4 linked regions of the Diceros bicornis minor genome follow. The protein of the gene in region 1 interacts with the protein of each later gene in a pairwise test. Links are inferred from orthologs where the notes say so. Each region holds a gene or a part of one and is shown in the gene's direction. Other genes may lie near its edges. The genes, in order: SSX2IP, MORN4, TOP3B and SHFL.

What was found.
Region 2: the proteins of SSX2IP (region 1) and MORN4 interact in binary tests that used the Homo sapiens proteins (3 or more experiments, as listed by UniProt). The two-hybrid records come from large-scale screens. The link is inferred for Diceros bicornis minor from reciprocal best matches to the Homo sapiens genes SSX2IP and MORN4.
Region 3: the proteins of SSX2IP (region 1) and TOP3B interact in binary tests that used the Homo sapiens proteins (3 or more experiments, as listed by UniProt). The two-hybrid records come from large-scale screens. The link is inferred for Diceros bicornis minor from reciprocal best matches to the Homo sapiens genes SSX2IP and TOP3B.
Region 4: the proteins of SSX2IP (region 1) and SHFL interact in binary tests that used the Homo sapiens proteins (3 or more experiments, as listed by UniProt). The two-hybrid records come from large-scale screens. The link is inferred for Diceros bicornis minor from reciprocal best matches to the Homo sapiens genes SSX2IP and SHFL.

The regions. Positions count from the first base shown.
Region 1 is NC_080743.1:21,177,564-21,184,391, reverse strand, and holds the start of SSX2IP (afadin- and alpha-actinin-binding protein), read left to right. Parts: upstream 1-3,823; 5' UTR 3,824-3,906; intron 3,907-3,960; exon of another isoform or gene 3,961-4,138; intron 4,139-6,828. UniProt on the Homo sapiens protein: Belongs to an adhesion system, which plays a role in the organization of homotypic, interneuronal and heterotypic cell-cell adherens junctions (AJs).
Region 2 is NC_080745.1:63,377,942-63,385,069, reverse strand, and holds the start of MORN4 (MORN repeat-containing protein 4), read left to right. Parts: upstream 1-4,125; 5' UTR 4,126-4,263; intron 4,264-7,128. Other genes in the region: PI4K2A (phosphatidylinositol 4-kinase type 2-alpha), read right to left, coding at 1-25. UniProt on the Homo sapiens protein: Plays a role in promoting axonal degeneration following neuronal injury by toxic insult or trauma.
Region 3 is NC_080774.1:30,422,614-30,429,862, reverse strand, and holds the start of TOP3B (DNA topoisomerase 3-beta-1), read left to right. Parts: upstream 1-4,239; 5' UTR 4,240-4,360; intron 4,361-5,143; exon of another isoform or gene 5,144-5,323; intron 5,324-7,249. UniProt on the Homo sapiens protein: Releases the supercoiling and torsional tension of DNA introduced during the DNA replication and transcription by transiently cleaving and rejoining one strand of the DNA duplex.
Region 4 is NC_080769.1:9,028,773-9,035,904, reverse strand, and holds the start of SHFL (shiftless antiviral inhibitor of ribosomal frameshifting protein), read left to right. Parts: upstream 1-4,112; 5' UTR 4,113-4,184; coding exon 4,185-4,205; intron 4,206-4,669; coding exon 4,670-4,793; intron 4,794-4,980; coding exon 4,981-5,030; intron 5,031-6,425; coding exon 6,426-6,464; intron 6,465-6,621; coding exon 6,622-6,771; intron 6,772-7,132.

The DNA.
Region 1 (6,828 bases):
TAGTGGTGCACATTTTTAGAACTCCTTTTTGAAATTATGTTCAGAGTCAGTTTACTGTCTTAGAAAATCACACACATCTTGTTTTTTGACCTTTCCCTATCCACCCAAATGCAGTAACTTAGTTGGAAAACACAGCTTTGGCATTTTAACATGGCTCCAGAATGTGTTCATCAGATTTGGCTCTGAATAACTTTTGTACTGTTCCAAAAATCAGATTTATTATCAAAGAAAGAATTCTTTTCAACAAATTCAGTGCCTACTGGTGTGATACCTTTTGAGCAGCATCATTTGAATATGCATACAGCCTGCCAAAGTGACTACTTTGAAATGACATTCATGTGAAGTTATGTTCATTTATTCACTAACTAATTATTGAGCACTAACCACTAAATCCCAGGCACTGTGTTAGGCACTGGGGACACATCAGTGAACAAGCAGACAAAATCTCTGTTCCTGCTGGCTTACATTCTAGCAAAGGGAGAAGGACCAAACAAACAAACAAAATGAGTAAACTCTATATTATGGTTAAAGATTATATAAAAGCAAGGTAAGAGAGATTTGGAAAGCTGGAGGGGGTTCCAATTTTAAACACATGTAATGTTGTCAGGTTGGGCCTCACAAAGAAGATGACTGGGTAGACTTGAAAGAGGAGAGATAAGTAATATAGATGTTAAGGGGAAGAACATTCAAACAGAGGGAATAGCTAGTGCAAATGCCCTGAGGCAGGAATGTGCCTAGCAAGGTTGAAGAACAATGAGGTGGCTAGTAGTTGAGTAAGGGAGAGAGTTGTAGTACATGAGGTAAGGAGATAGAGGGCAAGTCATAAGAACTTTGCAGCCATGGAAAGAATTTTGGCTTTAACATTGAGTGAGGGGAGCCAAAGCAGAGAAGTGGCATGATCTGAATTGTATTTTAAAAGAATTACTTTGACCACTGTGATAAAACTAGACTATAGAGGAACAAGGGTGGAAATTTTGATGCATTCTGGAAGACAACACCACTTGATAGTCACATCCCCTTAATTTTGCTTAAAGAAGCAAAAGCAGGCAAAGCAAAGCATTTAAAAGAAAAATTCCAGATTACATCTTTACCCTTTATCTTTCCTTACCATAGTTCTATCAAGCCCAATTCCTCTAGCCCTGGGCTAAAAGTGTCCTTAGACTATTTTTAGGCTGCAGCCAAATTCTTTACCTGTCCTGTATATCAGTCAGGATCTCCTTAGCTGCCAGTAACTGAACACCTGACCCACAATGGCTTAAGCAATCAGTCATTTGCGCTCTCCCACCTGAGCAGTCTGGAGGTATGCAAAGCCAGGGTAGGGTAATTTAGCCATTCAGTGACGTCTGGGTTCCGGATTGCCTTTCCCGTATTGCTTTTCCCGCTTTCCTCTCATTGATGCAGGATGTGCCACCACAGCTCCAAACATGTCTTGCTCCCTGGAGGATGGCCAAGGCGAGAAGTAAGGAAAAGACTTCTTATGGGCTCTCAGGGACAAAACCCTCCCCCTGAAATCCCCTACCCTCTACTTCCCAATATGTACTCACCAGTATTAGGTTACAAGCTCAGCTCCTAAACCAGTCATTGACAAGGGGGACACAGTACCAAGACAGGTGCAGACCAGTGGTTCTCAAAGTGTAATCTGAGGAAGCCTGGGAGGGGGATCCCCAAGACCCTTTCAGGGAGTCTGCAAAGTCAAAACTATTTTATTATAATATTAAAATGTTATTTGCCTTTTTTACTCCCATTCTCTTATGTTTTCCAAAGGCTACCTGAAATAGTGCAACACATTGAATGCAGCAGATATGAAAACCAAATTGCCTTTCATTAAGCCACACATTAAAGACAATTGCAAATTTTTAAAGTAATACCACTCTTTCTACCTTTTTTTGGAACATATTTTCCATAAAAATGTGCTATTTATGTTGACAATTTTTATTCTTTATTATTTTTTTAAATAACAAATATTTTTAAATTTCTCAGTTTTAATTTCTAGTATGGTAAATGTCAACAGAAATAACCCACATAAACAAAAGCTCTTTGGGGCCCTCAATAATTTTGGGGAGTGGAAAGAGGGTCCCCAGAGCAAAAGATTGAAAACTGCTGGTTTATTCAGACAGATGTGATTCACCCTTGGAGCTGGGGGCGGGGCCGAACTCTCCGGAGCTCACTTCAGCCCGACCCAAACCTTCTTCAAATCAGACTGTTAGCGTTAGATCGCAACAGGGTGTGCCAGACGCTGCTTACTGAATTGACTGATCTCAACTCTTCTAGCTAATCGGAGAGCGAGCTCTCCCTTTTTGACTGTGAGGAGGTGAAATGGTCAAAAAAAAAAGAAGCCTTAAGTGTTCTTTCAAAGAAAAACTCATGTTAAGTTGCTTCTTAAGATGGAAAGGGGTGTGGGATATTTGCTATGAAATTTCAAAGGCCCTCTCGGGAGCTGGGGTAACCCCCTCCCCCCATCAGCAGTCTGGGTTAGGGAGAAAAGTAATCATTGCAATAATTGGTTTCTTCCTCCCTACCAGCCCTGCACTAATAGCGTCCTTATAATGATGGGCCCTAACGGCTTGTTTGGCTGTCATTCACCTATGCTTGACGGCGTCTGGCCGGCCTCCTAATCGCTTAGGCCAAAGGCAATGAGGAGGATTTCGTTGGACTCCGAAGTTGTCACCATGGCGGGCTCATTTTCTCTCCTTGCTCTTTCATCCAGGACTGGGGATACGTGCGTGTAAATCGGGAAGGGAGCACTCCTTCCTCTCTCGCTCTTCAGAGTTAATATTTCTCATTCTCATCTCATACTATTTTAGTTTCATAGTGCTCTCAGGAGCCTCCTTAAGATACTAAACCTGTTTTTCCCCTCTTGAGTAACTCTCTTGGCTTCACTTAAAAAAAAAATCCATCAAAGTACATCTTTGTGTTTATAACTCAACTCATATGCCTGCCATTTCTCCATCTGATCTCTTTCCTTCCTCCGGCCTCTTTTCTTCCCTGGAGAATTTCAGGCTGACATGGAGCAGGGGAGGAGCCGGCCTGACCCTGGCCACGGGTGCAGGCTTACCGTTTCTTTGCACATATTTTGCTGGGTGGGTGTAGGGCATTTTTGCATAAACCTCTGGTTCACGAGTGCCATTTCTTAGTCTTCCCGCTGTCTGCTGCCCAGGTCCGTTTCTTTCCCCTAATTTAACAGGTAACTTTCTCCCGGTTGGGTTGTTTGCCTCCACGATTCCCGACACCTGAACCTCCCTTCCCCTGGGCCTGACCTAATTCTGGGTGCCGGCTGCTATTTGGTTTATTTCTCCACTTTTCCAAGTGCACTTGGCTCTTCTAGGCGCTTCCCTTTTGCTCCTATGGGTGGGCACTGGGGTTCACCGCGGCTCGGAACACGTGCTTTAAAGCAGCCACGACCCCCTTCCCCCACGGAGCCCTGGGCCCCGAGCTGGGCAGGCTGAGGAGGGGGCGGGGAGCAGGCCCCGGCCGGGTGAATCACAGGGCGTAACAGGTGCCGCAGCCGCAGCTGCGCCCGCATCCCGCTCGGGCTCTGGGGATAAGGTTTTCTTTTTCTCTGGGCTTTTTTGGAGGCGAGGAGGAGGCTCCGGGCCCCCACCGGACCAATGCAGGCCGCGGTTGTTCATCGCCTAGCAACTGGCCGAGCCAATGGGAGGCGGCCGGGCCGGCGGCGCCGGCGGGCGGGGGCGGGGTGGGAACCTAGCGAACCTGCCGCTGCGGGGAGGCGGCGGCGAGGGGCGGAGCGGAGCCCGGCGCGGGGCGGCGAAGGCGGGCGCCGGAGGCGGAGGCGGGGCCGGCGGCCCGGGGCGCTGTGTGCCGGCGCTCCTGTGCGGGCCCTCGGGGCTGCGCTAGCGGGGCTAGGAGCTGAGCGGTGCCTCCCCGCCGCTCGCGGGGGCCGTGACGGTGAGAGCCTCGGCCCGCGGCGGGGATTGTGACGCGCCCGCCCGGGGAGGGGCGACGGCGCCGGGGGTGCCGAGGGCAGGCGGCCGGGGGGCGGGAGAGCGGGCGCGGAGGTGCGCGCCGGCACCTGGCTCGGCGCCCCGCTTCGCTGCCGGAAGCTCGGCGTGGCCGTTGGGGCGGTTGGAGGAGGCGGGCGAGCGTTGACCCCGGTCCCGCCCGGAGGAGGAGGGGGGAGGTAGGTGTCAGCTCGGGGACCGCTCCTGCCCGCCGTCGCAGCGCTGCGCCCACGGCAGGGCTCTCGCCCGGGGAGCCCCAAACCCTTCCGGGGATGGAGAGAGGGTGGCGCCTGGCGTGGGATGACGAGCAACGCGGGGACGTGGAGGGGGAGGAGGGGATGGCGGATTTGGGGCTGCGGTGCCTCTTTAGCAGAGGCTGCGGGCATGCGGGCTTCGGGGTTTGTTAGCGCGAGCCGCAGGAGGCAGTCGTTAGAATGAGTTCCCGGGTGGCCCGTGGCCGCTGCAGGGGAAGAGGACCCTGATAGTGGTCTAGTAACGAGTCTAGGGCAAGAACTTACCCCATCCAAGAGGCAGGCGTGTGTGAGGATATTTTGGTGCAGAATGTTATAATCAAGTACGGTAAACCGAAGTGTGAGCTCTCTGCCGGCTTTTGAGCCTATGCTGATCGCCCAGTTATACAAGTCACTTGGGTCCAGGAAATGGAATCTGCTAAATAATTTCAGCATGTGTATGGAATCTGCTAAATAATCTCAGCATGTGTAATATGGGAATCTTTAGCTTATTACTCCATTTCAAGGTCCATAGTTATGATTGCCAAATTGTCATTACTTGCAGCGCTGATAAAGTTCTTGATGAATCTGAGAGAATTGAGATTTCCCTTTTCTGGGCCCCATAAATGGATGAGGATTAGAACAGTCACTCCTCCGAGGGTGATTCAGAAGTGTAAGAGAAGGGCCTCCTGGACTTAGAAATTGCTGGGCTCCCCTAACAATTCAGCTTAGAGTCTAGGTCTCGAGTTGGCTGTGAGTGATGGGTGCCTTGGAACCCTTTATGCCTCAGGAGGGATTGGTTTACTGTTCAGGTAGAAGAACATTCTGGCAGCCTTGATCCTAAACTGGAAAGGTAGATATGACTTGACACGTTTAGGTGACTGAATAGAATTTGAAAAGACTTAGAGATCTGGAGAGAGAAAAAATGCCCTAGAGTTGAAGTCTAACTCAAGCTGTCTTGAAATTTAGAAGAAGTTAGAGGTAGATTTATGAATTTGGATTCAGTCAGCAAAACAGTCCGTCAGATCTCCTATCCTAGAGCTGTCATAACCTACACGCCTAGGAAGCTTAGGTTATTCATTCAGATTTAACAAGTAAAAGCTAATAACTAATTTGACACGGTTCTGCCTGCTGTCAATGAAATTTTCTCAAACAAAATGGTTTTTTGAAAAGAGGATTAGGAACTGATAGTTCAAATGAAGGCTCTTTGAGTGACTTGCTGGGCCTCTTGAGCTAAGTCATTTTACACCCTTCTTCCCTTCTCTTTCCCCATCTGTACAATGAAGATAATAAAGCCCCAGGATTAAGTAACAAGGGAAGCAGCTTGAAGATAAGTGCAAAGACTTAGTTATTCTAGGATGAAATGTGAAGATTTCCTCATAACACATTGCGCCTGTGACGAGACTTGTTAAAGCACATTGCGTTCCAAGCACGCTGAGGCCGTATATGAGAAAATGAAAATGTTAACTGTTCCGATGATTTGCCAAAGGTCTCAAGGCGAGCACAAAGTCAGAGTATGTTCTTGGAGTCTCCAAAAACTTGACATAGCTGATCTTTGACAAGCTGGCAATGACACAGGTTTTGATAAAAGCAGACAGATGAGTGCCTTCTATGGAGTATGCACTTAGAGATGAAATGATACTGAATGATGAGAAAGACACTGCCCCAGAATTGTGTGATTTTAATTCATTTCACATGCTTAAATTGGTGCAATTTCAAAGCTTTTTAAGTGATAGTTTTCCATGTGTTTTATAATAGTTGTGAATATGCCTTATTGGTCTGACTGTTTGCTCAGGACACAAGGGATTTTGATACTCTGTCTTTGCTGATGCTGATCATGATTAATTGGCAATGACGGTACAAGTTATCTTGAATTCACAAGTTTATGGGATGGGATAGAATAGAGAAGCGCACCATTCATTGTTGGTAATGGAAAACAACCTAAAATCTTTACTTTTGAGAGTGAGTCAGTATTGTATGGTACCAGCAGAGTATTGAATTATGCTTTAATAATTTATTTTTTCAATAAACATTTATTACACACTAAGCTGCTACTTGTCAGACCTGAGGATTAAAAAGATGAATCTTGCCTTGAGTTTTTTTAGGAAACTTACGGTGTAGTCAGGGAGAGAGCAAAAATAGAAAATAAAAATTGCAAATAAGAGAAGGCTTTAGAAAAGAGAATTTCAGCTGTGTCTTGACAGAGGAGAAGGAGTTTACCTGATGAACACATATTAGCATGTTCTGCAGCAGTATACCATTGGGGAAGTACAGGTGGTTTGGTTGGTGGAGCCAGGTGGCCTGGGTTAGTGATAAGGTTGGTGAACAGGGCTATGACCTTTGACCAGTAGGTGAAAGGGAACCTTTAAAAGGTTTTATCCAGCAGAATTACATTTGATTTTTACTTGAGAAGGGTATTTCCACTCAAATCAGTAAGTTGGGTGATCTGAAAGTGTTCTTAACATAGACCATCCAAATAATAGCAGAGAGACAACAACCCTACACAGCAATTAAAGACTTGAAAAATATTTTATTGAAGCCCCCAGAGACCTTACAAGAGCAGAAATGATTATTCATGCAACAAACCTTTATGGAGTATTTTCTACTTTTAGGATTAGAGGAATAGGGATACAGAGAGA
Region 2 (7,128 bases), on another chromosome or scaffold:
ACACAAGTGGGCTCGTCTCGTCCATCCCTCAGGCCGCGGGCTCCGGGACCCGGGGCACCCCGCACAGCTGAGCTCGCGGCCGGGACCAATCCGCGACGCCCCCAGCCCCCGCCTGGCCAACCAGGTCGCGGCGCCGTTTTGGCCCCGCCCCTACCGCTCATGTTTACTTGGCGACGAGTAGGCACGACCCCTTGAGCGCGAACGGCAGCCAATCGGAACTAGCGCCTACGCAATAGCGCCCTCCGCATTTTTCGCCCGTCACCTTCTGTGAAGACTGCGCATGCTCTAGGAGCCAAACCCGGGTCAGACACGCCCTCTGCTTTTACCAGCCCCGCCCCGCCCTTAGCTTCCAATTGCTGACGGGTGTTCGGGAGCCTTCAGTAAAGTAGCCTACTTAATCAGTCATTCCTTTATTGAGTGCCTACTATGACCCAGCTGTGGGACTGGAGAAATCTAATCTTTGTATCTGCATTCATTCAATCAGGCACTCATTCATTAAATATTTATTGAGCACCTACTACGTTCTAAGTGCTGGGGAGACAGAAGTGAAGCAAAGAAATAAAATCCATGCTGTTAAAAAACAAAATTCGACTGAGTAAATTTGAAAGATCGTATTGGCTTTATTCAGTGACTCATGAATGGGGCAGCATCCCATCTAGCAGACAGAAAGGAGCTCTGAGGAGCTGTACAAAATGGAAGGCTTTTAAAGGCAGAAGGGAGCCAGACAAGGAAGTTATACTAGCAAAGAGTGGGTTGGTTGTGGCCAAGTCACCTTCCTTTAGGGATGGCAGGGGTCTATCAGGCAGATTACCTCACTAGTGCTGACCAGGTAATTCCAGACTGACTGGGTTAAGATTCCAGTCAGTTAAGTATTAAGTCTCTGCTTCATGACATGGGGCTTAGCATAACTGACTCCATTTGGGGCCTGTTGTCTTGTTTTTAACACTAACTAAATAAAAAAGTTTTAAAAAACTCCAGCCCTGGTGCAACTTACACAGTGCCTGGCCCAATGCTTATTTGTTAATTGAAGAACGATATGGTCCCATTAGACTAAAAATACCAAGAGGTAAGAGTCCATGATTGTTTTATTCATCACTGTGAAACCTCAGTGTCTAGACACAGTAGGTGCTCAATACATTTTTATTAGCAGCAAAGAGAAGGAAGATATAGTTCCTGCCCTCAAGCTGAAGACACACAGCTCTGTGAGGCAGTAGGAGAAAAAGAGCCAACAATGAGAGCTGAAACCTCCACAAGAGGAGTTTAGTAATTTGGGGGTAGGCCGGAAAGTCAGCAAAGGCCTTAAGTGGGGCATGTGCTATGAGCTAAGTCTTAAAGGAAGAATATAATTAGATCACTGGGGAAAAAGGGGGAGAAAAGAGGGAATCAGAGACATTTAAGTTTGAACCCCGCTCCACACTTATTGTTTTGTATGAGTTAACTCTCTAAGCTTCAGTTTCATCATCTATAAAATGGAAATAATCATCACTTCCTCAATGGATTAAATAAGAATTTAATACATTAAATTCTACATTTACTACATACATTATGTATGTAGAGCACTTAGCATAGCCCTTAGTACATAAAAAGCGTTCAACAAATGGTAGCTTTTTATCACTGCTGAGCTTTTGATTGATACTGGTTTTGCTTTTGTGCTTAAAGTAACCAGCAGACTAAAGGCGTGAGTTTTCACAAAAGATGACCAGCCACATAGTAACCAATATTTCATAATCAGTCTTTCTTGAATCAAATGATTGCCACAGCTAACTAGAAGTACTAAATTGAAAGAACTATTGTTTAATTCTATGTATGGGAACGTCTTAAACTTTTTTTGCCAGGTAAACCATTCTAGACAAAGATCATATAGATGGTTCAATTTCCCCTTTTAGTTACAAGACGTGTATTTCCCCTTCCTATCCAGCATCAAATAATTAAGTAATATTTGCTTCTTGTGTCCCAGGGGCCATAGCCACCGACATGATCTCTTGGTATTATTCATCTCATTTACTCCCTAAGCTTCAAATCATGGTGAAGGAAAGCCCCAAGATTTAGAGTTCTCTCTTGAATTCTGAGTTTTCTGTATGGAAAACCCTCAGAACTTATTTCTGTATCTCCCTCTTGGAACTTGGTTTTCCTTTTACTGAAAAAAAGAGTGTCAATGCATTCCCTGTTACCTATGAAAAGCTAGCCCTTACCAAATGCTAAGCATGTGTCAGGCGTTGTTTTAAGTGCATTACATAGAGTAAGTCATGTAACCAGCATTACAGCCCCTATGACGTTGGAAGCTGAGTAAAGTAACTTGCCTATGGTCATGCAGCTGGTAAGTGGCAGAGCTGGATCCAAACCCAGGCAGACTAGCTCCATGCTTTTAACACTATATTGCTTCTTATTAAATATCTCTGTGAAATGTGTCTCATCTTTACCCCCTTTCTTTCCATCTTCACTGATGCCACATTAGTTTTGAGACTCTCAGAATGTCTTAGCTACATGATTACAATAGTTTCTGAGTTTGTTTCTCTGCTTCCAATATCTCTCTGATTATCTCTGGGTATCACTGCCAGATTAATTTTCTTAAAACACTAATTTCATTGTGTCACTGCTCTGATCAAGAAACTACATTTTTTATTGTGGTAAAATATACATAATATTTATCATTTTAACCATTCATAAGTGTACAATTCAGTAACATTAAATACATTCACAATCTTGTGTAACCATCACCACTATCTATACCCAAAACTTTTTCATCATCCCAACAAAAACTCTGTACCCATTAAACAGTAACTCCCTCTTCCCCTAGCTCCTAGTAACCTGTATTCTACTTTCTGTCTATTAATTTGCCTATTCAAGAAATTAGATTTTGCAAACCATATCTTCTCCCTAATTTTTCAGGTTTTTCCATAATTTGACCACAATCTATGTAACATTACTTCTTCGTATTTTTAAATACACATTCTCCAATCTTATAAGATTTGTTTTCTGGATATTCCATTCTCTCAACTACTGCAATTATATCTATAGTCAATACCACAGAGTTTAGCGTGTTTAACCTTTGAGTGTTAGAGCTAGATTGAATCTTATAGGTCTCCTAGTCCAATCTCATTTTACAAGCTAAAGTGCTTAATAACTTGCTTGAAGCCACACACAGTTGGTGGCAGACACGGGATTTGAACACCGAATCAAAGTCTTTTAAAACAATTTAAAACTACCATTTATTGATAGTTTCAGACACAGTACCAAGCATCTTACGTTGTATTCTCAGACAAGTCCTGAGGAGACTTTATCATCATCATTATTATTATCATCATCATTTCTATCCTACAGATGAGGAAATCCTAATTTAGAGAAGCAATTTGCTTACTCTCTTCACGCACTTGCCTTCTCTTACTAATGAAATATAGTCTTGGATTTTTCCATGTGCATGAATCTTTTCTTCTCCACATTTAGGCAGTAAGTCCCATGAGGGCAGTGATCATGTCTTTTCCAGCCTGGCAGAACCTAGCATCGTACTGCATTCACACTGTTCAGTAAATAAACATATGGATAAACGGATTGGTGTGCATGGTATTTGGGAGGATTTTCTCCAATCTTGGCACTGTATTGTAACTACAAAGGATCTGGGTAATGACAACTACAAGACAAATCCTTACAATGGATGCAAAAGTGTCCTCATATCACAGAGCTGGCACGGGGTGACACTCATTAAACTGCAGTTGCCCCGTCCAGTGTATTACAACGTACAAAGCTGCACCTCAAAAGCCAGGTTCCGGTTCTGTCCTTAAACTCCGCGGTGGTACCGTTTACAGCTGTGGAGACGGGGCAGGATCGGAGCCGCCCGAGGTGGTCACTGTTGCGTCTGACGCAGGTTTGGCTTGGTTTTGTTTGGGGTTGACATTTCGGCTAGCCTGTCTCTGGGTAGGCGACAGCTGAGTTCTCTCTGTCCGGGCGGCGGAGGTGGGGTTCAGCCCCACCCCTCTGTCGGACGTTTGGCCCCGTCTCTCAACACACTCCGCCCCGCACAAAGATGGCGCAGAGCCCGGGCTGGGCCAATGGGGAGTGGCGTTGCTCCCGGTTGCCTAGGTAACAGCCAATAGGCAGCGGGAATTGTGCCCAGTGCGGCTGCCCGGGATGGCGGCGTCAAGCGGAGCAGGCGCTGGTGGAGGTGGCCGAGAGGCAGGTGGCAGGGGCGAGACCGACGGAGCGGAGGTCTGGGCGGCTGGAGCCCCGCGTCGGGGCGTGACGGTCACCCTGAAAGGCCAAGCCCAGGTTGGCTGGCAGCGCGGATGGGAGTGGGCCGGGAGCGTGTGGTCGGATGAAGAAGGGACTGAGGAGCCCAGCCCGAGATGACGGGCTGGGGAGCGCGGCTCCATCCTGGACGCGCTGACCGGAGGGCGGCTGCCCCAGGGGTCGCAAACCCGGGCCTCTCGTCCCCACCGCGGGGGTTGAGGCCCGGGAGAGCCCACGGTACTTGGGTTAGCGAGCGGGGTGGGTGGGGCTGCGTCAGGAGGGGATGGCAGACCTGTGTGAGCAGAAGACCCGGTAGAGGGGAGGAGCGGTGCTGGAAGGCAAGAACCGGGTGGGAGAAGGAATGGGGAGTCGACAGGGAAGTGTTGCCTTGTTGCGTCTAGGGCTTTGTTTGCTCTGGGCCCGGCTCTCTCACACTGTGGTGGAGAGACGTCCCACACGCACATCGAGGCTTGGGGAATGGAATGCCTCAATTATTGATGGTGGCATCCCTGCAGTCTAGCATCAGCAAACTGCTTGGGTACCAGCAGGAGTAAGTCAGCTACGTTAGAACCGGCCAAGGCATTTTCCTTTGCCGTGAAATAGAATAGCATCCTGGCAGTTCCCATCACCTCCAAGTCTTTTTTTCTCTTTCTTCTTTCCTTCTCTTTCTTCCTTCTCTTCCTTCCTTCCATCTTTCCTTCCTTCCTCCCTTCCTTCCTTCCTTCCTCCCTTCTTTTTTCTTTCTTCTTTTTTTACAATCTTTCTGGTGTCAGGATTTCCTTCCCACTTTCTTCAATCTAACCATCTCACAGTCTTCCTAAATAAGACGTTTATCTAGTAGCAATACGTTTGTTTACTTTTAGAGTGGAAGGAAGTAGTAAAAGAGACTTATAGACTTATAATACAGTTGTTTCAAGCTCATTTAAAACCCCTGAAAAAGAACATTTGACTTTTTGTTCTAGATTCCTTACAAGCCTAATCTTGGTTCATCAAAGCCTTCACTTTCTTCTCTTTAGGATTGAAAATCATAAGAACTGCTTTCTTTATAACTGAACAACTTTGACAAGACTGTCATACCCTAGGGAGGGTGGCTTTAGGGGGACAATGTGAAGATGTATATGGATAAAGGTGGCTGCCTCTAAACAATATTCTGTTGAAAACCTATTCTCCTTTATGTTAGTTTTTTTCAAAAACCCTCTGAATTTGGACACAGGTTACTGTGAATGCATGAATATTTCTTAACTAGTTTGATTTCTGAAATTAAAAAAAAGACAAATGGAACAGAAACAAAAGTTCTCATTCCTGTCTCCGAGTTCTACTTGGAAATGTCTGGGGCAGGAAAAAATAAGAAGCAGGGATGTAGTCTGTTGTGCAGACTAATAGTATATTGGTTTACAGGGACAAAATCATCATTTTCTTTTAGATAAACATTTGGATTAATTCTTAGCAACCCGTCTATCAAGAGAGTTGGAAGCGTGGGTATCTGTTTAGAAGCGTGAATCATCTTGGTATTGTAACTAGATTCCATATGTATATCTGAAGCCTAAACTCCTAGGCTATCTCTTCTCTTTAAAACGATTTTTTGAATAACTGATACAAATACTGATTTGCATCCCTTATTAAAGTATTGGGTTTTTCAGTCTTCATCAGTTGTGGCGATACTTTATTGAATTAGATTTGTCTCAGTGACCGTGGTTACTGGTGAAGTTCCTTTTTGGGTCAGTGGCTATGCAGCTGACTATTAATTAGCGTGGCTAACTACAGAAGTCATATGAAAATCCTGACACTGTCCCAGGCAGTGACAGTATCAGTTATTTGGACACATGTAAAAGTTTCTAGTCAAATGTGTTAAACCATGGCCTGAGACCCATGGAGTCTATGTGTGTTCCCTTTAATTAGCAGTTCTGATTGTGTTCTTGGGAATGGACAGCATTTTGACAAGCAACTGTTGAAGGAAGTTTGCTGTGTCTCCCTGGATCAAAAAGGAATGGAAATTTATAGCATGTACTTTTTAAAACAAATGGGAGAGGATGTTCCAGTTACTATTGCTGTGTGACAAATAGCCCCAAACTTAGTTGCTTAAAACAATCATATGATGCTCACAGATTCTGTGAGTCAGGAATTTGGACAGGGCATCATGGGAATGACCTCTCTCTGCTCTATGATACCGCAGATGGGATGCGGGCTCAATGCCTGGGGGCTGCAATCATCTGAGGGCTCCTTTGCCTGGGCTAGGATGATTCAGTGATGAGGAATGCCAACTGGAGCACCAACAAACATGGCTCAGCTTCCTCGCAGCATGGTAGCCTCAGGGTAGTCTGGTTTCTCATGTGGTGGCTCAGGTCTCCAAGCACAAGCCTACCAGGGAGCAAGAGGGAAGTTGCCTCACTTTTTATAATCCAACCTCACAACATACCATTGCTTCCGTTGTGTTCTATTGGTCAAAGCAATCACAAGCCTGCCCAGATTCAAAGGAGAGGTGTGAGACTCTACCTTTTGAAGGGGCAATTGCAATGTCAGATTCTTTGGAAAATGCTATTTGCCACATTTGGTAATAAGATAATCTTTCAAGTTTCATTGACTTCTTTGAAATATTTAGAGTATATTCCCCAAGAGCTAACATCATACCAAAAGAGTAGCTAGGTTCACAATTTGAGGGCTGGCTAGTACTTTGTCCATAGATAATCCTCAGACTGGACAAACACTCTTCCCTTCCTTCAGGGACCGTCTTTTGGTCCCTCTGAAACAAGATGGGATGCCACTATTTGGAAGTTTCAAGTAGCCTTGAGAAAAAGTAAACAGATACAAGAGGCTGCTCCCCGTGAGCCTCTGTGTAGTCAGTCTGACTCCTCAAATTGCAATAACTCCTTCCAAAGCTTTGAGTGAGGATGTTAGTTAACTGCT
Region 3 (7,249 bases), on another chromosome or scaffold:
GGCCCCACAGCTAGAGATGAGCCAGCCCCCAGTCCCTCCCATTCCGCACCCCCTCCTCCAGCTTCCCTCCTCTGCGCTGTGCCCACCTTCCCCTCATTCTGCCTGGGAGATGGTCCCGTGAAGGTGGCCTGGGCAGGGGCTGGAAGACAGCTGCGGGCCCCTGAGAGCACTGAGCATCAGGGAGCCAGGAGCTCATGTCCCAGTTGCAACACCCTCTGCATCTCTCAGGGACATGCCCAGACCGCCCCCTGCTGCTTCTGAGAAGACATTACAGGCGCTGCCCACTGACTCCAGCATGAACGCATGCTATACACACACACACACACACACACACACACACACACACACACACACAGGGCACCCGGCAAATTCAACTCTTAACAGAAGAGCTTAGAAGGGAGTACTGACTGGCAGGGCAACAAGAAGACCTTCTGGAGTGCGGGAAATATTCCTTGTCTTGATCAGGGTGGTGGTAGCATGGGTGTTTACCGGTGAATGGATCATCAAGCATACGTTCATGACAACAGCACTTTACTGTCTATAAGTTTTACACCAACTTTTTTTAGTCCATGGGATTGTGCATGAGATGTCAAGAAAAGACTTGCACTTTTGGTTCAGTTTTCTGATCATCTGGGGGAGCCTTAGTTTGCAAGTTGCTGTCATGTATGATTCCTGATTTAAGAAAAACAAAGGCTGAGAAACTAGAAGAACGACAATGTCTTGGTTGTAGAGAAATAAACTCTGAGTTCCATTAAGGAGCCTGCAGCCTAAGGAACTAACTTTCCCTACTTGTGGGGAGTCTAGGCCAGGCCAGTGGACAGCAGCGGAAGCCAGAGAGTGAGGCAAGAGCTGAGGTTTGTTTCTTTCAAGCACCACTTATCAAAAGGATTTTCCTTTCTCCTGTTGAATTGCCTCACTGCCTCTGTCAAAAATCAATTGACACACACATGCTTGTCCCAGACTGGGAGCTCTGTCACACGCGTCATTGGTCTCTGTCTGTCTCCTTCCGCCAGCACCATGCTGGCTGATGACTGTCTTACAGGAAGGAGTGAGATCAGGCCATGTAAGTCTCCCAACCTTGTTCCTCTCTTTCAAGCATATAAAATAAATAAACAGACAAAACAAATTTGAGAAACAGTTACAAGTTTAGAAGATAGGCCAAAAAAAAAAAATCCGACACATATATAATAGGAGCTTCTGAAAAGGAAAAACAAGAGAATAGTCTCAAGTCAAGTACAGACACAGATTCAAGAAAACTTTCCTGACATTAGAAAAAAATTGTTTGAAACCATATATTCAGAGGGAAACTGTGAACCTGAGAAAACTGATCACAATGACCGACACCAAGATGCGTTCTAGTAAAATTACTAAACTTAAAAGAAAAAGAAATATACTTTGGGCATCCAGGCAAAAAAAAAAAAAACAAATCACTCACAAGAGAAAGAAAATAAGACTACCAGACTTTTTGAGAGCAACACTTTATACCAGAAGAAATTGGAGTGACATATTTAAGATACTCAAGGAAAGAAAATGTGAGCCAAGGATTTTAGGTCCAGCCAAACTCACTTCCAAGTATAAGGAGCATACCATAGTCAGCCACAAAGGCAGAGATGCACAAGGAGCTGACGTAAATTAGAAGTAAGTACAAGAAACACAAAAATGCCTGAATTGATTTACAAAACATCATAGTGAGAAAAAAGAATAAAATTTACCGGCCGGCCCCGTGGCTTAGTGGTTAAGTGCGTGTGCTCCGCTGCTGGTGGCCCAGGTTCGGATCCCGGGCGCGCACCGATGTACCGCTTCTCCGGCCGTGCTGAGGCCGCGTCCCACATACAGCAACTAGAAGGATGTGCAGCTATGATATACAACTATCTAGTGGGGCTTTGGGGGGGGGGGAAGAATAAAATTTACCCAGCAGACAATGTCATCAGTGTGCTACAGGAGTCGGGAGGTTTGAGTCTCACTCCCCCTGGGGTCTGGAGCTCAGAACCATGCAGGCTCACCTGTGGTGTCATAGGAGTGACAGTAATAACTAGCCTTGTCTTCCACCTGGAGTCCGGCGATGGTTGGGAAGGCTGTGTTGCCCAACTTGCAGCCAAAGAACCAAGTTGAGATCCCTAAGGGCCGATTGTTGTTCTTGTAGATGAAGACTTTGGGGACCTGGCACATGCTGGTACCAGTTTGGGGCATATCCCCTGATGTTGCTGCTGCTTCCTGTGTAGCGTACTGTGACCATGTCTCCCGGGGAACCCCAGCACAGAGGCCAGCTGAGTCAGCACAGACTGGGCCCTGGAGTCTGGAAAGATAGAGAACGAGAAGGAGTGAGAAGCCCTGTGGCAAGTGGGTGAGAACTTGACTTCTGGAACCTGGCTGCCTAGTCGTGAAACCTGGCGCTGCCATTTACATCTGTGTGACCTGTTTCCTTATGTGTAAAATAAGGATAATAACAATAATACCTAATTCCTAGTGTCATGAGAATTAAATGTATTCATAATAGAAAAGTGCCTAGAACAGAGTAAGCGCTGGGTGGGTGTTAACTATTTACAGTGTTAGCAAGACCATGGCCCAGCCTATGCCCCACCAGAGAGAAGAGACCCAGGAGCTCTCAGGTGTCCCATCCACCACAACTAGGCGCCTGTGCATAAGTGAGGAGAGTGTAGGGGTTCCTCCCAACGGTGAGGAAGTCAAAGCGTTCCTCTGAATCTGGGTCATTTGTCAACATAAGTGTCCCCGGAATGGCCTGCCCCACAGCTCCCTGGGAGGTCTGTGGGGAGGACTCCCCAAGGGGCTCTCCAGGCAGCAGGGGAGCACAAGCAGCTGCAGTTTCCCAGCTCCGCGGAGAATACTCAGACAAGCAGGCTTCCAGAGCTGACCATTCAGCTCCCCTGCCAGGCCCAGGCCTCAGGTCCTCCTTCCTACTCTGTGGAATGAACCCCAGAGCTGGATTAAACAAGCAGTGGGGCTCTGGTCTTGCCTCTCTGCCAACTGGACATACTCTTCAGATCCAACCTTAGTCCTGGCTGCTGTCCGCCGGGGCCTGTGTGGAGAGCAGCCTGTAGGGCTCAGGGTGGGACCAGGAGGGAGATGGGACTTGGGTCAGTGTGGTGGCAGCTGAGGCCAGAAGGATTGATTGGATCTCAAATATGATTTGAAGACAGTGATGGATACCAAGTGAGAGAAAGAGAGGAATCCTGGAAGCCTTCAAGGCATTGGGCCTGAGCAGCCAGGAAGGTGAAGTTGCCGTCTTAGCAATGGAGAACCTGCCAAGGAGTGGGCTGGGAATCAGGAGTTCTGCTTTGAAAGGGAAATCTCACTGTAACTTAATTTTCTGCATTTCCCAACCTTAATTTGACCATAGAACTTTTCTTTTTCCAGACATCTGTCAGGGCTAGTATTCCAATAAAGACAAGTTGGGAACAGCATCTACAGGGAGCAAAGGAAACGTTTGTACGCTGTTATTTAAAAGATATTAAAATCAGGTCATGAAAATTATTTTTAACTTTCCATAATCTTAATGCTCTAACACAAAAAAGATTACTTTTATTTTCCAATTCATCTTCCAGATATATTTTACAGTTTATTTATTCATCCACAAATGTTTGTAGCATTGAAAGAAGCCTGCTCTACAAACATCTGTGGTTTGTTTTTCGGTTTTTTATTGTGGTAACATTGGTTTATAACATTATATAAATTTCAGGGGTACATTATATTGCGACTTCTGTATGGACTACATCGTGTTCATCACCAAAAGTCTAGTTTCCATGCGTCACCATACGTGTGTGCCCCTTGACACACACACACACACACACACACACACACACCTGTAACCACCAGTCTGCTCTCTGTTTATGCGTTTGTCTGTTGTGGTGGTGGTTGTTGTTGTTTTATCTTCCACATAGGAGGGAAATCATGCATATTTGGCTTTCTCCATCTGACTTATTTCACTTAGCATAATGCCCTCAAGGTCCAACCGTGTTGTCGCAAATGGCACGATTTCATCTTTTTTACGGCTGAGTAGTAATATACACACATCTGTAGTTTTTAATTATTTTAATTATTAACAGCATACACGTTTCCATGCTTATCATCTAGTTTTCATCATCATTGTAATGATGATTGTCATTATTGCCTCCGGGGCGGGGAAGAATGGGGTGGAGGGATTAGGGATCTCGGCAGATGCGGTGGGCAAGGGCCAACTCGGGGCGTGCTCCCGGAACGCGACAGCCACGGAACCCGCGGACGCAGGTGTGCGGGCACCGGCGGGGAAACGCGGGGACGCCAGCAGCGGCCCGACCCGGAAGTAGAGTTGCCGGCGGCCGCCGCGAGCGGAGCTGAAGCCGGAGCCGGGGTGGGGCTGCGGGTGAGCGGCGGGCGGCGGGCTCAGGGATGTGGGGAGCGCGGGCGTTTTCCACGCACCGGGGGCCGCCAGCCCCGCGGCTTGGGCGAGGGTCCTGGGCCGGGCTCTTTGCATTCTCGCCTCTTCCCCGGCGGGGTGGACCCCCCCGAACCCCGGGACTGGTTTGGGGGTTCAAGGAGGTGGCGATGGGCCGGCACCTGGAGGGAGCAGGCGCTGCAGTTAATACTTTTCTTCATCGAACCTCCCGCAGTTATTGAGAGGGGTCTGTTGCCCGGATTTGTTGTCACGGGTGGGGAAACTGAGGCTCAGGGAGGCGGTCGGTCCACGCAGGTCAAGGCAGGGTCCACGCCGCCCCGGAGCCCTGGCTCGGCCTCGAGGGCGCCCGGGCGTGTTTCTCTGAGTTGTTGATGTGGGTGAGAGGGTACTTTTGTGAACAGACGAGCGAGAATCCAGGGGCAGTCATTTCTCAGAGGTGAAAAGAAAGATGATGGCCTCGTCCTGCCTATTTGTCGCTCAGCCGTTGGGAACAGGAGGTGAAAATTCAGCCCAACCAGGGCTTGATGGCCCGTGAGCCCCGGGGGGGTCCCTAGAGACTTGGCAGAGGTCACCTGACACTAGTCTGAATTGTTCTAAACCTCAGTTTACTCCTAGTTGAAGAAATGAGGACACCGCCAGCCCTGTGGGCTTGTTGGCAGGATTCAGTAGAGTAGCGTTTAGAGCTATAGCGCTACAGACGACCTTAATTAAGAAGGTGTGGTTTCTTCCCCTCTTTTCCTGACTCCATAGGTGTCTGGTCAAGTTCTGAGGTGGGAAATCCTAGGGCTGTAACTTCTGTCGGCCCACTGCCAGGCCTGCACTCCGGAGCTGAGTCCACATGTTCATGAGGGCTGACTTGAAAGGACTTGATCTGCAGTGGCTCCCAGAAGGACTCCTACCGTTGTGGTTTTGCTGGTGAGAGTTGACAGGGTAATAACAGGCTTACCTGCTGCTCCCTTTCACTTTCAGCCCTCCTAATTACAGTCCCAATTTAGGGTGTTTGCTGTCAACATCCCCTTAGCACTTGCTAATCTCCCTTTTTGAAGTAAGAGGACAGATGTCAGGCTCAGCACTTTGGCAGGCAGCAAGATCAAACTTGATGTGTCATGTGGGTTACCGGAAGGAACCGAGTTCTGGCCATTGATTACAGGCTTTCAGTTCCTATGAGGCTATAAAATTTCCCTTTTCTATATATTTAAGCTTTTTTAAAAAGCAAAAACGGAAGTAAATAATAATGTTGGTAAGGCAAAGCAGTAAGATGGTGTATAAATGTTCTCACACCATTGCTTTCAGCTTTCCTGCTCATTGGCTTCCATTTTGAAATTGCAGATGTGCCTTAATGGAAAAATAGGGAGGCCTCAAGATTAATCACAGTTACGACTGCAGAAATCTTTTAAGAAGTAGAACCTGGTGCAGTTAAAAACAGTGTGCCTGGCTGGACGTAAGGAAGCATGAGTTTCAGCCCCAACTCAGCAAACTTCCTAGGTTACCTTTGGAAAATCCCTTTCTCTGAGTCTTAGTTTGTTCTTCCTTGAGATGGTTGTACCGGATCATCACCAAGATCCCTTTCCCAGGACTCCCTGATTCTGTATCCTTAAAGGAAGTGGTATTTATTTTCCTAATAAAACAGTGATACTTAGAAATTACAAAGTACTCATGCAGAACTGAAGTATAAACTGTTGAACTAGAAGGTGTGTTTTGCCACATATCAAATGTGGACTAGCCGCTGCACAGCCTGGCAGTGGACAGGTGATCTGAAGCTGGGCATGATGCTGACGTGCTTTTGTGTGCACTGTCCAGTTGTATCCCTAGTCCTAGATAAATGAGGTAATCCCTTTGAAGATGCTAGGGCAAAATGTTTCTCTGGAAAGGGATCTTGAGACAAGAATCTGTTGAGCTCCTTCTTGGAAGTGGGAGTGCGGGGATGTGAGGTATTGCCCGGTGGCGCCTGTAGAGCTTGCTCTGGGTGAACTTGCGGCACCCACGTTTGAGTTCCCTGTCCCTACACCGTCATTCGCACGTGTGCTAGACATGGGTCTTTGCTGGGGAGAGAAACTCAAGACCGCTCGAGCTCTAGCTTGCTTTGATGAGTATTGTTGGAATTATTTCCTATTACAGAGGGCTAATTTCCTTATTATATAAACCACTCCAAAAATAAGATAACAACCATCAAGTTGACAAAAATGGGTAAAAATATGAATAGACAGTTCACAGAAAAGGAAGCCAAATGCTTTTAAACGTGAAGTGTGCCTCTGAATGTTGAGGGACTTAGGTGTTTGTCTTTTTCATACTAAAGTTCATATTTTCTAGTTTCATTTTTTTATTTAAATCTTTGCTAGAAATTGGAATCTGTTTTGGTGGAAGTTATAAAATAGGTGTCTGACTTTGTTTTTCTTACCATAAGGTTGCCCGGTTGTCTCAATACAAGTCTTTTTCTTATACAGTGCTATGTTTGTCAATGTCGGTGCCATACTTACAACAATCAGAAAGACAGAAAGGGTTCATATGTTTCTTTCACTCAGCCAGCGGGTATTAAATGTCCTCTGTCAAGCTCGAAACCAGCTGTTGAATTGCCAACAGTGATTCAGACATCAGGCCACTCGTGTGCAGCAGGAAGAAGAGGCAGTGACCAACCGTGGCATGATGGGCAGAGGGTTGTAAGGAACGGCCAGGAGGAAAGGATTCATCCCGCCGGCGGGTGTAGAGAGAGCTCTTTGAAGAAGAGTTAGCACTTGAGCTGGGCCTTCGGACAGTTGATCTGCATTCTCCAGGCTTGGCAAAACATTCCAAGCAAAGGGAACAGAGGCTTGAAAATGTGTTTTTTCTTTAGACGCTGCTGTCCAATTTAATTGGCCA
Region 4 (7,132 bases), on another chromosome or scaffold:
GGGCATTCCCAAATTTCTCCCTTTGGTTAACTGAGGGGGAAATTGACTAGATTGCGAAAAGCACACACACGCTCCAATTGTGTCTACTTCCTCCACAATTAAATATATGCTTACGCAGCTTAAGCCTCAACGGGTCCAGCTGAAGGTCAAGATTTTGCTGCTTTGAGCACAAGCTTCAACTCCCTCCATTCACCCTCTGCTTGCTAAACCCCAGCCATGCTGGCCTTTAGCTTCCTACCATGGACAAAACCCCTCCCCACCTCAGGGCCTTTGCACATGCTGTTCCCTCTACCCTGCACCTCTTCAACTAGGTAACTCCTATTCACCCTTTGGAGGGACCTTGAGCGGGTTCTTGAACCTGTTTTCCCATTTGTAATAATATTACCCCCTTTGTAGAGTGGCTGTGAGGATCAATTGAGATACACAGCTTCAAACACTTGGCACAGTGTTTCAGAAAGTGTTAGGATTTCAGCTCAAGAGGTACCTCCTCCAGGAAGCCCCGCCTGACTACGCTGCCCAGGTCAGGTTCCCACGTGTTGTCCTTTCTCACCGATCTCTCCATTTCTCTTTTTTGTAGTTAAATAATTACTTGCGATATTATCTGCTTCATGTGTCTCTTTCTCATTAAGACCATGAGCTCTGGGGGCGGGCCCCACGGCGCGAGCGGTTAAGTGCGTGTGTTCCGCTGCTCCGGCCCGGGATTCTCCAGTTCGGATCCCGGGCGCGCACCGATGCACCACTTGTCAGGCCATGCTGTGGAGGCGTCCCATATAAAGTGGAGGAAGATGGGCACGGATGTTAGCCCAGGGCCAGTCTTCCTCAGCAAAAAGAGGAGGATTGGCAGATATCAGCACAGGGCTGATCTTCCTCACAAAAAATAAAATAAAATAAAATAAAAATAAAAAAGACCATGAGCTCCAGAAGGGCAGAAACGGTGCCCAGCACCACACTTGCCACCAAGGAGGCACTTGATGCCTCTAAATGGATGAAGCAAATGGGCTCCATCTTTGACTCGATTATACTAAAGTGTCAAAGGCTACACTTCTTTTTGTGTGTGTGTGAGGAAGATCAGCCCTGAGCTAACATCCGTGCTAATCCTCCTCTTTTTGCTGAGGAAGACCGGCTCTGAGCTAACATCTATTGCCAATCCTCCTCCTTTTTTTTGCCCCCCCAAAGCCCCAGTAGATAGTTGTATGTCACAGCTGCACATCCTTCTAGTTGCTGTATGTGGGACGCCGCCTCAGCACGGCTGGAGAAGCGGTGCGTCGGTGCGCGCCCGGGATCCGAACCCGGGCCTCCAGTAGCGGAGCGCACGCACTTAACCGCTAAGCCACGGGGCCGGCCCAAGTCTACACTTCTTATCACTGTTACCTGCACATCTATTTTCTCCCTCTCTACACCTTTTTATAAAGACAAAGGATAAAATGCAGTCACGCTCACCCCACTGCACAAACAAGCCACATCTGGCCAGGCCAAGGTGGCCACAAAACGTCAACAGTACATCCGTGGGCAGGCAGCGTCCCCCTTTGGTCGCTGGGAATGTTTGTTTTTCTGTTTATCTACAAATGCCAAAATTCAATACTTGGCTTGTATCGTCTGTTTGTCCTTCTGGATAGACTGTCACCCTTCTGCCCCTGCTCTGTGCCCTGAGAGGCTGACAGCATGACCGGTGCCCCTACCCTCCTTGGCTTCTGGTGCAGCCAATGAGGCTTCAGCAGGAGATGGGAGGACAGGGGGCGGGGGGGGGGGGGAGCGGGGTCTTTACTTCTCTCTCCCTAAACGTGGGCTGGATCTACTGACTAGATTTTAACATACTGGATGTGGTGGCAGAAGTGACGCTGGGTGACTTCCTTGGCTGGGTCATAAAAAGATACGACTTCCACCTGGCTTTCCTTGTCTTGGATCACGTGCTGTGCGGAGGCCCACTGCCAAGTTGGGAGGATGTACTCGAGCAGCCGAGTAGGGAAGAATTGAGGCAGGGAGACTCTGAGCCAAGACAGCCCAGCAAAGCCACTCCTGGATTCCTGATCCGCAAAAACTATGAGATAACAAGCGTTTATTGTTTTAAGCCACTAAGTTTTGGGATAATGTGTTAGGCAGCAAGGGAGAACTACTACAACTGGTGACAACAGTCCCTTGCTCCTACCTCAGGACCTTTGCACTTGCTGTTTGCTCTGCCTGGAATTCTCTTCCTCCACCCCCTTCAGGTCTCCTCTCACATGTTACTTCCTACAGCCTTCCCTGACCCCCCTCCCTTTATCCATCCCCCTACTCCGGTTTATTTTTCATCCTAGAACTTATTATCTCCTGTCCTATTATATATTTGTTTCTTGTCTGTCTCACCCACTTGAATGCCAGCTCTACAAGGGCAGGGATCTTTTTGTTCGATGCTGTGTCTGCAATGCCCGGAACAGTGCCTGGCACAGAGGAAGCACTCCATATGGTGGCCATTATTATGAGAATCTAGCAGATCTGATTCATGTCAGGGCTAGATCGGCCTCTCATCTGTTTGATGCCCACCATGGCCAGGGGATGGGACATAGCTGTGACCTCTGCCTCCACTGGGTAAGCAGTATTTGACAACTATAATGAGGGAACCCCTTCATGCCTCCTCACTTCCCTCAGGATAAAACCCCAGGGCCTCTGCGCAGCCTGCAGGCCCCGTGCCTGCCTGAAATTCGACCTTTCAGCCACAAAGAACCATGAACTCTTCACATGCGCTAATAGAGGGGGCTCCAGAGAGGGGTGCATAGACCCCACAAACAAAGCTTTGGGGTTCTAGTAGAAAACATTAGCACATCTATACTTTTTAACCTTCATTTTTGTGTGTGCTAAGGAGTATCATTATGTAAGAAATATATTATTATAAAACAATCTACAGAATCTATTGGTATAACTGTATTTGTATGTAATTTATAAATAAATATCCATCTGGGGGTGGGGCTCCAACATTTTTGGAGTTATTTATCCTAATGCGATTTTGCCCCCCAGGGGACATTTGGCAATGTCTGGGGACATTTTCAGTTGTCACGACTGGGGGAGGGGTGCCACTGGCATCTAGAAGGTGGAGGCCAAGGATGCTGCTACACACCCTACAGTGGCCCGGGCAGCCCCCACCACAAGGAACTATCCAGCCCAAAATGTCAACAGAGGCCAGGTTGAGAAGTCCCGGCCTAAAGCGCCAGACTCTTTCTTGATTCTGAGGGGTCTGCACGTGCTGTTTCCTTCCCTCCACTCCGTTCTTCACCTAGCCAAGACCTCGGATTTCCTCCAAGAAGCCATCGCTGACGCCCTCAGGCTGGGCCAGAGTGCCCCCTAGCTCTGTCCTCCAGCTCCCGTGCTGGGTTAGAATCGTCCTGGCCCACGGGGTTCTCAACCTTCGGGTTTGCAATGCAGATCCCCAGGAAGCCGGAGAAGCCGCATTCTGCAGGACTGCTAGGGACCAGGAATCGGTACTTTTAACAAGCACCTCCCCCTTCCCCCTACTGCCTGTCCCTTCGGACTGGCACATAGTAGGCGGCCCAGAGACTAGTTGAGTGCCTACTGCATGCCAGGCGCTCCTAAGTGCTCCACCCGGGGTCTCGAATCCTGGCGCGCGCGCACACACCCCCCCCCCCCCAGGATGTAGCCGCTCTCATCATCCCCATTTTACGGAGGAGTAAACTAAGGTTCAGGGAGGGGACGTGGCCGGGTAAGAGATCCAGAGTGAGGAAGGCGCCCAGGTTCTCATCAGCGCCTGCGTCCTGGGGGGAAGGGAGGGGAGAAGGCGATGAACGTGGGGAGCGCGAGCCTGGGGGGCCCGGAGCCTCGCCGCGGCCTTCCGATGCGGCCCCGCCCCCAGGAGGGACGTGAAGACGCGGACCCCGCGCAGCGTGGGGACATGTGACCGACTGCAGAGGCCGCGCCGCCTCCCCCGCCCGAGGTCTGCGCGCTCCGCCGCAGGGTGCAGACCCCGGCGCCCGCCTGGGTTTGGGGCGCAAGAGCAGAGGCGGAGCCGGGGCGGAGCCAGCGCGCCCGGTCGCCCCCCAGGAATCGAAAGCGAAAGAGGGGCCGGGAGGGAAGGGCGGAGCCGGCGGAGGCCCCGCCCCCTGCCCTGCGCGGCCGCTGGACCGGCGGGCGCGCCCAGGTAGCGGGCCGCTGAGCGCGCAGCGCGGACCCTCGCGGGGACCTGCGCCGCTGCCACCATGTCTCAGGAAGGTGTGGAGGTAGGACACGGCTACGGCTGGGCCGGGGGCCCGCGAGAGGCGCCGGGGAGGGGCCGGGGCGCCGAGAGGGCTTCGCAGTTCCTGGGCACTCCATCCGAAGCCCAGATCTTCCTGCGGGCTGGCGCTGGCCCCCATCGGAAAGGAGAGGGACCGCCACATCCCCCGGAGCGAAATGCGGCCTCCTCGAGGAAAAGCGGGGGCTGCAGGGTTAAGGGTCAGAAGTCAGGGGTTACCTGGCCGGCCTCCTCCCTTAGTCTGGGACGCGCGCCCCAGTCCACTCCCTCCCGCAATGGCCTGTGGAGACTTTGGCTTTTTCCAGGAAATGCCGTAGAGGGATGGAGGGGGGCGGGGGCGGACGCCAAAAGCAAGGGTCAAGTTCAGGCCGGGAAAAGGATGCCTAGAGATGGCAGAGGGGCTGCCGCTCCTCTCCTTGCCCCATCGGAGCCCCCCTGTCCACACCCCAGCTGGAGAAGAGCGTCCGGCGCCTCCGGGAGAAGTTTCACGGGAAGGTGTCCTCCAGGAAGGCGGGGACTCTGATGAGGAAATTTGGCAGCGACCACACCGGAGTGGGGCGCTCCATCGTGTACGGTGAGCGCGCGGGTCCCGGCCTGGGGCAGGGGGACTTCCACGTGGGGGAGGGAGTGTGGTCTGTGCTGATGGTAGGAGGAAGCAATGAGATCATCTCTGGGGAGGGTCTGTATTGGGGCTCTGGGGGCCCTGAAACTCCCACAGGATCCCGCCAGGGCCCTTCACCTACACTTACTCTCCCCACCAGGGGTAAAGCAGAGAGACGGACAGGAACTGAGTAATGACCTGGATACCCAGGTAAAATGCCCCCTCCCCTCAAAGGACGGGCTGACGGGGGGAGGAAGAACAGAGGGGACCCGGCCCCTCCGTGGTGGCCCCCTCTGTGCCGCAACCAGTCCACAACTTGTGGTCTAACCTCATCCACTTATTCACCTCTCAGTCGTGTGTCTGGCCAGGGAGCCTGCAAACAGTAGGCGCTCATTACATGTTGATTGTATTAAATGAGGAAGAGACACGTGAAACGAGGCAGTGAAACGAATCAGGATTAATGTCATCATAGAAGAGTCGTAGAAGTCAGGGAAGGCTTCCTGAAGGAGGTGGTGCCGGCTCTTCAAGGCTGGCAGGAGTGATCCTTGAGAAGGGGAGGGGTCGGGAAGGGTCTTCCTGGAAGAGGGAATGGCTTGAACAAAGAAACACACGAACAGGCTGGGATGAGCAGGAGATGGAGGAGGAGAGACGGGCAGAGAAGCCCATGTGTTGAATGAATGAATGAATGAATGAATGAATGAATGAAAGGCTTTGAGGCACAGGTGCAACATGACCACTTTGCCCCTTAATGGCTTTGGTGGCTGGTGGATGTGGATTTCTGCCTGAAAGGCCCAGCACAGAGTTGTTACATAGTATCATAAAGTATTGTACTATTTATATTTATGCATAAAGAGTATAATAGCCAAGAGTAGCATCGATTGAGCGCTTCCCTTGAGGCAGGACGCCAGGAATTTTACCTGTTGATTGATTTCATCGCCACAGCGACCCCATGAGACAGGTCCTGTTATTTATCGTGTCCGTTTTACAGATGAGGAAACTGAGGCACAGAGTGACGAAGTCACTCGCCAGGCTCACACAGCACGCAGGCGGCAGCTGGGATTTGAACCGCAGCCACCTAGGGTTTGAGCCTGGGCCCCGGATGCCCCTCCGTAGGGACCCAGGGGGAGTGGCTTGGCCCCCACAGCTGGAAATGATGAAGCCAGGATTGGAACCGCCGCTGTCTGAAGCCGGAGCCCGAGCCTTAGCCTCAGGCGGCATGGGCTCAGAGGGGCGGCCGGTCACAATGCCAACGAGTGTGTGGCGTTCGCCGGCAGGAAGGGGGTCTGGGCCTGTTCTGCCCAGCTCACTCGGGGATCTGAGGCAATCCCTCTCCCAGCTCCGGGCCTCAGTTTCCCCATCTGAGCAATGAGGAGAACAGGTGTGCCCATCTCTCAGGGCTGCTGTAGGATAACTGAGGTCATGCACCTGGCTCTCAATATGGGGGTGCTGCTCAACCAGCTCCTCGTGAGTTAGGAACACCTCACTGTTACGCCGCCAAGACCCTGCCCCCCCCCCCCCGCCCCCGTCCAGGAGCCCCGCCCCCAACAAAGATGACAAGAGACCTGAGCCACATCCCCAGTTTGTGCCCATGGTGTCTCCACCCAGGACCCCCCAGAGGACATGAAGCAGGACCAGGACATCCAGGTGAGTCCAGGGTGTGGGACAGGGGAGGTGGACCGGGGAGGCCATGGGGGGGGGGATGTCACAGGAGCAGGAGGGGGCGTGTCTGTAGGGAAGGGAGGGCCGACACAGGTGTATGTTGGTGAAAGACCACCCTCTGGTCCCCCCCCCAATTCTGCAGGCGGTGGCGACCTCCCTCCTGCCGCTGACAGAAGCCAACCTACGCATGTTCCAGCGCGCCCAGGAAGACCTCATCCCCGCCGTGGACCGCCAGTTCGCCTGCTCCTCCTGTGACCACGTGTGGTGGCGCCGCGTGCCCCAGCGGAAGGAGGTGATGACCCAACCCTTGACCTTGATTCTGCCCCAACTCCACTCCCGACTCCCATCCTCAGTGTTTGAACCCCTGACCTGAGAACACCAGCCCCTGAGAGCCCAACCCCTGACCTCCAGGCTCAGAGCGCAACGTCGTCTCGGACCCCAGAGCCTGACCCCTGAGCCCACAGTTTGACAGCTACCCCAGAAATCAAACCTCAACCCCAAATCTGGCTTCTGAGCCCCCTGGCCAGTGGTGTGCTTCTGGTGAATGCTCAACAACCAGCTGGTACCCCAGATGTGTAGCGTTTGCCAATTTCCATGGTGTAAATATTCCCACTGTGGCCAATATCAGGCAACAGTGTCCACCTGTGACAGCT